Schizosaccharomyces pombe: one gene and its partner. The protein of the gene in region 1 interacts with the protein of each later gene in a biochemical or structural test. Each region holds a gene or a part of one and is shown in the gene's direction. Other genes may lie near its edges.

What was found. The genes of interacting proteins can lie anywhere in the genome.
Region 2: the proteins of orc5 (region 1) and orc3 form a complex in vitro, tested with the Schizosaccharomyces pombe proteins (3 studies listed by BioGRID).

The regions. Positions count from the first base shown.
Region 1 is NC_003423.3:951,812-956,070, reverse strand, and holds orc5 (origin recognition complex subunit Orc5), read left to right. Parts: upstream 1-1,753; 5' UTR 1,754-1,794; coding exon 1,795-2,151; exon of another isoform or gene 2,152-2,204; coding exon 2,205-2,279; exon of another isoform or gene 2,280-2,319; coding exon 2,320-3,255; 3' UTR 3,256-3,737; downstream 3,738-4,259. Other genes in the region: Pex16 family peroxisome import protein, read left to right, coding at 1-34, 79-636, 702-814, 857-870; protein sds23, read right to left, coding at 3,964-4,259. UniProt on the Schizosaccharomyces pombe protein: Component of the origin recognition complex (ORC) that binds origins of replication. It has a role in both chromosomal replication and mating type transcriptional silencing.
Region 2 is NC_003424.3:1,928,217-1,933,180, reverse strand, and holds orc3 (origin recognition complex subunit Orp3), read left to right. Parts: upstream 1-1,877; 5' UTR 1,878-2,016; coding exon 2,017-2,052; exon of another isoform or gene 2,053-2,096; coding exon 2,097-4,133; 3' UTR 4,134-4,410; downstream 4,411-4,964. Other genes in the region: sdd3 (metallopeptidase), read left to right, coding at 1-1,593; SPOM_SPAP14E8.05C (uncharacterized protein), read left to right, coding at 4,858-4,964.

The DNA.
Region 1 (4,259 bases):
AGTATGATTCTGTCCTATTCTTGGAATCAGTCAAGTACGGAAATCTACTTTTCGATTAAAATTGTTAACAAATATTAGATTTTTACTTCGGGTTCACATTATGTGGACTACTGGAGGTGATCTTCCGCTCTCTAATCCTGTATTGCAGCGCGATTTCAATGTAAAGACTTTCATTCATCTTCACAAGAAATACTCTAATTCAGGAAGTGCTGTTGTGTTAAAAAACTCCAAGAAAGTTGTTCCCAGACTTAATACAGTCAATTCATCGCTTGACTTCTTGCAAAACCGAACTCCACGTCTTTCTTCAATTCTACCAGATGAGATTTTTACAAAAAGACTTCCCAATCTACGGATTTTTTCTAATTTTATTAAAGTTTGTCGTCCGCTTATCTATATGTTGTTTATGTGGCATTGGAAAAGAAAGCAAAAATCGAGTTCTCTTAAAGTTCGACCTTGGGGGCCTTGGATTGTAGCGTTTGTTTTTGAAGTTATTTCTCAATTAATTGATCGAAGATGTGAATCAGCGACTTCTAGTCGCCAGGGGTTTGGACTAGAACGCCGGACAAATCAAAGTCAGTTTCAGCATTTTGTGGTTTGGGCGTTTACTCAAGGACGATTTTATGATGAGTTTACCAAGTATGTAATTTATTTGAAAGGTTTTTATAACAAAATGTCGTTTTTCAACTCACTAACTAATTTAGACACTGGATAAATCGTTCCCTAAGCTGGGTTAATTCAATACCCGTTTTTGGTAAATATCTACTTCTTTCAGTTGAGGAAAGACAAAAAAGTCTCGAAAATTATATATCCTCTGGTATGATATTGATATTTTTACTGCTACTAACCTTTCATTCAGTTAGAAACTATTAAGGAAGCCTTGATGACCAGAACCTATAGAAATCCTTTTCTTATTTATTTAACTCGGTGTTTTTCTCTCTCTTGATTTCAGTATTGTTAGTATTTCATTTATCTACTACGTCTTTTGTTGCTTTGATGATTAGTCTTCATTCTTCTATAAAACTCAGTACACTTTTATCGAAAATAAAGCAAAAGCTTCAACATTGCATGCTACGAAGATTAGCAACGTTATCCATACATGAGTCAATCAGTATCTGAAATCTGCGGTGCAGATATGTAAGGTTTAAATAAGACTTTAAATTTCACAACTAAAGAATGCTGTGTTAAATTCAGACAAAGGAAAAGATGTAATACACTGAAATTCGGATATTATGATGAGTTCATATCAATTACTAAAAAATGCATTTTGATTTTTTTAATAACATACTTAAAACAGTTAACGGCTAGATTACAAATTAAATCTAAGCAATATTTAATTCTACGTACTCCGCACTAGGCCATTTATTCAAAAATAATTTTGGCTATGCATTAGCGGTGAAGAAGTTAGTATTGAAAGTGAATTAGCTAGGAGAAAGAAAACTTCTAATAACTCAAGCGAAACGAACTTCTGTTCTTTACTACTATTAATCAAATATATTACAAAAAATAAAATTTTATAATTCTATTTTAGAATAACTGTTTAAGCACATTTTGTTACGACAAGGCTTCTCAATAAAATACACCTTGAACCAAGTACAACGCTTATAGTAAACAATCAATTAAGATTTCAATAATTCCAAAGTTTAAATTGTATTTGAAATGTACGAATATTATTCTTCGTTTTCCATTAATTACCTTTCGTTTATTTGTATAAATTAGTCCACTAGTTTTTGCTTCGAGCGATGAATGTTTCACTGCACGACACCATATGCCAAAGCATAAGCATATTGCCATGAAATGCATTTGTATCAGTTGGAAGACGAATTAAAAAAGAATGTCTTTTGCAGGGAAGATCAAATAAAGAAACTTTCATGTTTACTTTTTAATAAGGATTGTCGTGTTCCAAGCATTGTGCTTTACGGAGTTGCTAGTACAGCAAAGACTTTTTTATTGCGGACCGCTTTTGATTTGTCAAAAGAAGAAAATGTTTGGATTAATTTGCAAGACTGTTTTACAGTCGCTCATTTCTGGTACCGGATCCTTATAAAAGTCGGTGTTGACAAAGATATAGCATTAAAAAAAGGCATTAATATCAGTGGATTTATTTATTTACTGGAACAGGCAATGTCCAAAAGGGACTATCATACATTTTTGGTACTTAGTTCCTCTCCTATTTTATTACTCTTAAATACTAATATGAGTTATAGGTGCTGGATCAAATAGATGATTTCGCTGAGGCTTCTACTATTCTATTCTCACAATTAGCTCAGCTTCCGATTGTTGTAAGTAAATATTTACAGACCCACTGATTAACTATTTTAGGCAAACATTCCCAATCTGTCAATCATTTTTGTACTTCATTCTCACCCTGCTCAATACTTGGGAACATTGTCTATTGCAGTGATTTTTTTCCCACAATATACCCAAGCGGAAATATTAGAGATATGCCAAAAAACACCTCCTAATTTAGATTTTTTGGATAGATCTGGCGATAGTGTTTTTGAAGACGAAATTGAGCTCAGCGTCTGGATGCAATATTGCTCGTTTCTTTGGAGTGTTTTTGGAGTGCAGTGCTTAAATGACTATAGGTCTTTTCGTAGTGTTTTGGATAGATATTGGCCAAAGTTCATTCAACCTATAGTTGAAGGAGACATACATCCTGCTGATTATGCTCAACTTCACAAGCTGGCTAAAAACTTTTTAGTGTCAGATGCTACGGTTACTAAAAGACTTCACATAATCAACCCGACTGAAATAAAAAATCTTCTTGATTCCAAATCTATTAACTTGTCGCTCGTTTCCAAATATTTACTCGTTTCTGCATTCCTAGCATCTTATAATCCAAGCCGGTTAGACGCCCAATTTTTTTCATTTTCTAAAACTTCGAAACGACGTGGAAGAAAACGTAAACAAATTCAAGATGAAGGGGTTTTATTTTCCAAAATACCAAGAACCGCTGGGAGCAAAGGCCGGTCTGCTGTAAAAATATCCCAACTTACATTAGGACCTAAACCTTTTGAAGTAGAAAGGTTGATTGCTATTTATTATGCCATTTCTTCCCCGGTAGAGAAAGTTCTGACCGCTGATGTTTTTGTTCAAATAGCTACACTCGCCTCCTTAAAAATGATACTTTCGGCTTCCAAAGGTGTGCTTCGCTCTTTGGATAGCCCTAGATACATTGTCAATGTCTCTCGCGAATATGTATTAAAAATCGCAGATTCACTTTCGTTTCCTCTCGATAGTTATTTGGCGGGATAGCTTAGTATTATGGTTTATTTTATTGCATTACTGAAATTTTGAATATCGTAGTTCTGTCACAATTCATTAATTTATACAGAACTATATGAACATCCATTCTATCTCCCCATAACATGTTATTTTACTGTTTAAAGGGCCCAAAACTTAAAAAACATATTTTTTTTTGTTACTTCTGGAAAATAAAAGAAAATGTACACTACAAACAATTCGATTACGCCTCTGTGATTCTGTGTAAACTGTTACGTATTTAACATTATGGAAGTTGGCAAAGCTGTAAAAAGCAAAAACTAGCGCCGAAAACACTCTTGACAAAAAAATAAAGTAATGTGCTGCTAAGATGGATACATAATATATATCAAGAGGCAAAGTTTCAATCATAACTCTGATATAAAAGTTAACCCTCTGAAAGAGCTACTCTGCTGCCGTGTAAATCAACAACGGGAGACAATTCATTAATAAGAACATATGTATAAAGAAAAGCGTCCGTCAGTTAACGTCAAAACATAAGTAAAAGTATATTTTTAATGGTTAATAAGAAATCATTGGAGATTTAACCAAAATCTTATCCATTTAAAGATGATTAAAAATAAGTATCAAAACCCGTTCATGAAATATGGAATGTTAGAGGTAACAGTAAAAGATGAAATAAAACGGAGGTTCAAATGAGAAAAAGAAAAAAGGGTGTTTCAAATCATCAAATATTTAGCATCACCGACGTTGTGTATCTACACTAGCTTTGCTATGGCTACGATGGCTGCTTGTGCTTCCTCGACGTCCATGTCTAAGCGAAGGAGCACTATGGGGAGCGGGTGGAAGAGTGCCTTTCATGTGAGCATATAAAACAGATATGATATCAGTTAAGCTAACAACGCCCAACAATTGATTGACCTTAACACCACCCATGGATCCAGGGGAAAGATGTGCGTTATTTTTTGGGGAAGGAGGGCAGGAAGGTGACTGCACAAGCCAAAGACGATGACATTGGGTAGCCACCAACTTAGCCA
Region 2 (4,964 bases), on another chromosome or scaffold:
ATTTCAAGCTTCAGGATAAGTGATCCAGAGAGTATTCGGTTTTACTCATCTACGACTGCTAGGACTCGTTCCGCAGGTCAACCTTTTGACAATGAAGTCCAAACTTATATAGACACTGATGTTTCTTCAGAAAACCCTTTCATCCAGTTCGATCATATTGATAGTTCCTTTGTCCAACTTGCAACGTATATCGACACCTCTATGATTCCTTCAAGTTTGAAACCATATCTTTCTGTATTTGCTAAATATATAGAAGCTGCTCCGGCCTTGCTCTCAGGTACCATACCTACACCCTATCACGAAGTCGTCAAGCAACTTGAGCGTGACACTGTATCACTCAATGTTTCGCTTAGTTTTGACACATCATCTTGTGGTTACGCTTATTATGAAACTAAACGTGAACTGCTTTCTATAGAAATAAAGGTCACTCGTGAAAATTACGAAAAAGGAGTTTATTGGATACGAAATTTATTAGCCAAAACGGTATGGGATAGAGAAAGAATGTTATCAGTAATAAATCAGCAACTGGCCGACATTCCTTTTCAAAAACGTGACGCAGAATTTATATTACCATCATATTTCGATATCCGTCTATACAATGATTGCTCATTGAAGTACAGCCTAAATACCTTAAGTCAAGAGAAAATTCTTCGCGAATTACGGGATAAGTTACAGAATGATCATTCATCAATTTTTGATGCCTTTCAAAAAATGAGAAATTACATGTTACAGCATCAAGCCATTCGTATTCATGTAATTGGTGACATTTTAAAATTACCTCAGCCAATAAGTACATGGAATAAGTTACTTGATAGCGAATGCCACCGGAATCCAAATATGGAGTTTCTTTCGACTTTCTCTAAGAACTATTTAAAGCCTCAAGAATTTGGAAGTAGCAGTTCCCTTACCGTTATTCCGATGCCGTCAAACGAGAGTAGTGATTTGGTATTTTCTATTCCAGGTATTACCAGCTGGCTTGATCCGTCACTTCCAGTTATCGTCTTGATTGCAAATTATCTAGGGTTGATGGATGGCCCTTTTTGGAATACCATTCGTGGTTCTGGCCTTGCTTACGGATTTAATATGTCAATTGATGTGGATGGTGGTGTGCTTTATTATTGTATTAACACCTCCCCTGATGTCTATAAAGCATGGGCTTCAAGTCGCGATCTTGTAAAATCGCTAATATCTGGTGAGGTGCAAGTTAGTAGTTTTGATTTGGAATCTGCCAAATGTGTATCTTATAGCATAGTATCGGAGCTTGAAAACAACGCAATTTACTCATCAAAAAACTCGTTTACTTTGTTATCTATCAAAGGTCTAAACAAAGATGAAGATCATAAATTTTTAGAAAAAGTAAAGCAGGTCACATTACAACAATTTTTAGAGGGTTTAAAAATTTATTGTTTACCGTTCTTCTCATCCAGCAATAACTTAGCTGTTATCACTTCTTCCTTAGCTAAGATCGAACAAACTGTTGAACAGTTCACAGAGGAAGGCTTCAATGTGAATGTTGAAAGTCTGCATGAAATTCAAGGAATTGAATCAGAATCCGAAGATGACTTATCGGTAGGAGGAAATGATGACAATTAATGAGGCGTGAACTCAACCAAAATTTTTATTTTATTTAAAAAATGATATTTTATAAAATTCCTTAAACTTTGACTCATGATTAATGAAAATAAAAAAAAGACTTATACCAACAAATCAAATAATTCTTCGATGTATGAAAATATATGTGTATATTCGTATTCTTTTTTAGTCCTACAAACGTCTGTCGACTCATTCTATTAACTCGAAGCATCAAAACAAACTAGCAAAGTGCTTTCTGCACTTACTACGCTTTCTAAGGTACCCATTTTCAGAACGGTGCTCTTGTGACAACCACTTGTTAATGATTCAAATTAAGACCTAATTAAATGAAATAATGCTAATAATTTGTGACACGCAAACAGAGTAAACTCAAATACTAAATTTGCTAGTCATCTGGCTTTTTCTCTACAATATCAAATTAATATGTCAGCAATACTACAATATGATTCAGTCAGTAAAGTAAGTGGAATTTTTTCAGTATTTTATCTAACTAAATTGTTTAGGGAACTTATTCAGTGAAACCCAAGCCAACAGAGAGCCTGGGAAATGAGTTTAGTGAAGGCCTTTTTGTTCCTTTGATAGGAGGTAAAGAACCTATAGAATACGTAAAATTAAGAGAAAATCTCTGTACGAAAGTGTTAAATGAGTTAGAAGAAATTACAACTCACACTACATATGATAGTAACGCCAGAGTTTTGAGACAATTGTGTGAACATGCATCAGAGCCAGTAGATGAAACTGGGTTACTTCGAACTGCAATCGTTTGTGATAAGAGTAGCAACTCGATGCACCTAAAGTTTTACGAGCAACTTAAAGACGATATGGAAAAAATTGGGTGGAAAAACTTTGTTGTGTTAAATCTGAAAGCTCATCGTGATTTGAAATCATGTTTTCGAGTAATAAAAGGTGGATCATTTGGACTAGGTGTCCTTTCGTATGACATTGAAAAACTTGATGAAAAGACCGTGTTGGTATTGGAAGATGTAGAAGATTGTGATCGGCGTCTTTTATCTTCTCTTGTGGAAGCACTTAGCTCACTCGTCCGACATTCAAAGTTACAAGGATGCTTATACACAATTTTTAATTTAAAAATACCGCTTGAAATGTTTGATACATCCCTCGATTCAAAATTCCTTAGCAATGTTAAAACCAAGGTTTTTAACATGAAGGCAAGCACGGAAATTCTTGAAAGCCTCTTTACCTCGATTGAGGAGAGTTTGAGTTTAAAATTTGGCTGGCGGACTCGGAGATTTTTTCGCTCGATGTTTTACGAGCGTTCATGGAGTGTTGAGAGAGTTATTGAATGCATTCGCTATAGTATTCTAACTCACTTTTATGGAAACGCTTTGAGTATTATAGAGCATTTGATATATCAAAAAGACTTTCATTTAATATCCCCTCTTCATTTAACCACTCTAAGAACAGTTCCTAGTTTTCAGCGGCACATTGAACAGCGTCTGGAAATTGGAGATTTGGAAAGCATTAACTATGTCGAGAAAATGTTGAATGATGATACCTACTTTCAAGAGATGGTCATTCAAATGTGCGAGAATTTATTATATCGGGAGCGTTTACTGCGCACCCAAGCTAAAATTTGGCACGAATTAGAAATGGCTGTGAAAACAACGACTAGAATTTCATTTGCTGATTATTTAGAGACATTTTTGCAAGGGGACTGGCTATCAAGTCCTCAGTACAAAAGTATATGTCAGGCAATTTTAAGAATGAATTCTACCAAAGCCTTGGCTTGTCTGGATTATTTAAATGAAAACATATTTACTGGAAATCAAACTATGAAGTGCTTAGAAATTCACCAGGAGCTTTCTGAACTCATTCGCAACTCTTCAACTAATTACTTAGAGCCCGTCGAGGTTCGAATGCAAAACTATAGTGGAACAAAGCATACAAGAAAAGTTGTTGAATCTGGCTTTGATAAAAGCATAATTGACTTTTCTAAAATTTTGAAGAAAATTGTAGGATTATTGGACGAAGAAGTTCAATATGGATGCTTGGGTACTGAATCTATTGATATGTATCCCTTTTACGAAGTGCTATTTTATGATTACTGTCGACCGTTGAATCAAGCATTTGCTTCAGGACATCAAAGAAGTGTGATTCATAGTTCGTGCATGGATCCAGAGTATTATGTAGGAGATGAAAAGAAAATTGACAGCGAGTTTTCTAACGCTGAAAAAGATGGAAAAGATTTGATATCCTGGCTTCCAGATTTATCTATCCTTTATAAGTTATATAGTGAATCTGGTGCATTGCTTAATTTGTACGATTGGTACATAGCATTTTCAGAGCATCTGCAAGCTGGAAAAGAAAACTTGAAAGAGGATGATAACCATCCACGAGAATCACCTCAGGGGAATCTGCAAAGAGAATTGAATGAACTAGATGAGGATAAAAGAAAACTCGAAGAAGCAAAGCTACAATCTCGATTTTTGTTTGGTTTAGAAGAATTGAGGTTTTTAGGGCTTATCAAACCTACCGCTCGCAAAACTGATCATGTCATGAAAACTATTTATCATCAGTAAGGTGCGAAATATAAATTGTGTATAACCTTGCTACTTAAAAATGCTAGCAACTCACTTTTTTCTCTGTATTCAAGTCTTTTAGGTTCTCCCAAGAAGCCTACTTTTTGTAAACAATTAAATGTATATCTCATTTTGAGCACTTTGTCTTTTGATTAAATTGAAAATATGTTCTTTCTCTGTTGGCTACCTATACCGATAGAAACAATAGCACGCTCGAAAATTGGAATCTGATAATCTGTCAGATTTCGGTGCTTATCATATTTATTACAAATATTCTATTCTAGCTAAGAAGTCGTCAGATCAAAGATAATTTGTTGTGTTCCATATTGCTCGTAGACCAGCCTATAAACCATTAATCGTAGTATTGTGATATATAAACTGGCGGTTAGCAACTTCGGATTCAGTATTTCGCAAATAATTCGCATTATAAAGAAAAAGATCAACTCATAAAAACTTACTTTATTTTGTTTTTTTATCCCACACCTGTATTGTTCTTCTATAACGATACATAATGAATTACATAATATAAATTTTGGGAATTTGTCTCAATGGCAATGATATTTATTTTAGCCCCAGATTTATTGCTACTTATATTGTGACGTTTCTCACGAATGAACGAACATGGATAGCGCCCTAAGTTACACTGTTGAGTATGTGCGCATACGAAGTCTGTTTTCGACTACAAACAAGCTGCTAGACACCTTCAAATTTTCAAAAGTATACAATGACACCTGATCAAAACGCTTTAGTTTTAAGTTTTCTCTTGACCGTAGGTGGTCTAATAGGATATTTGCGCAAAAAAAGCAAAGTATCATTAATCGCGGGAACGGC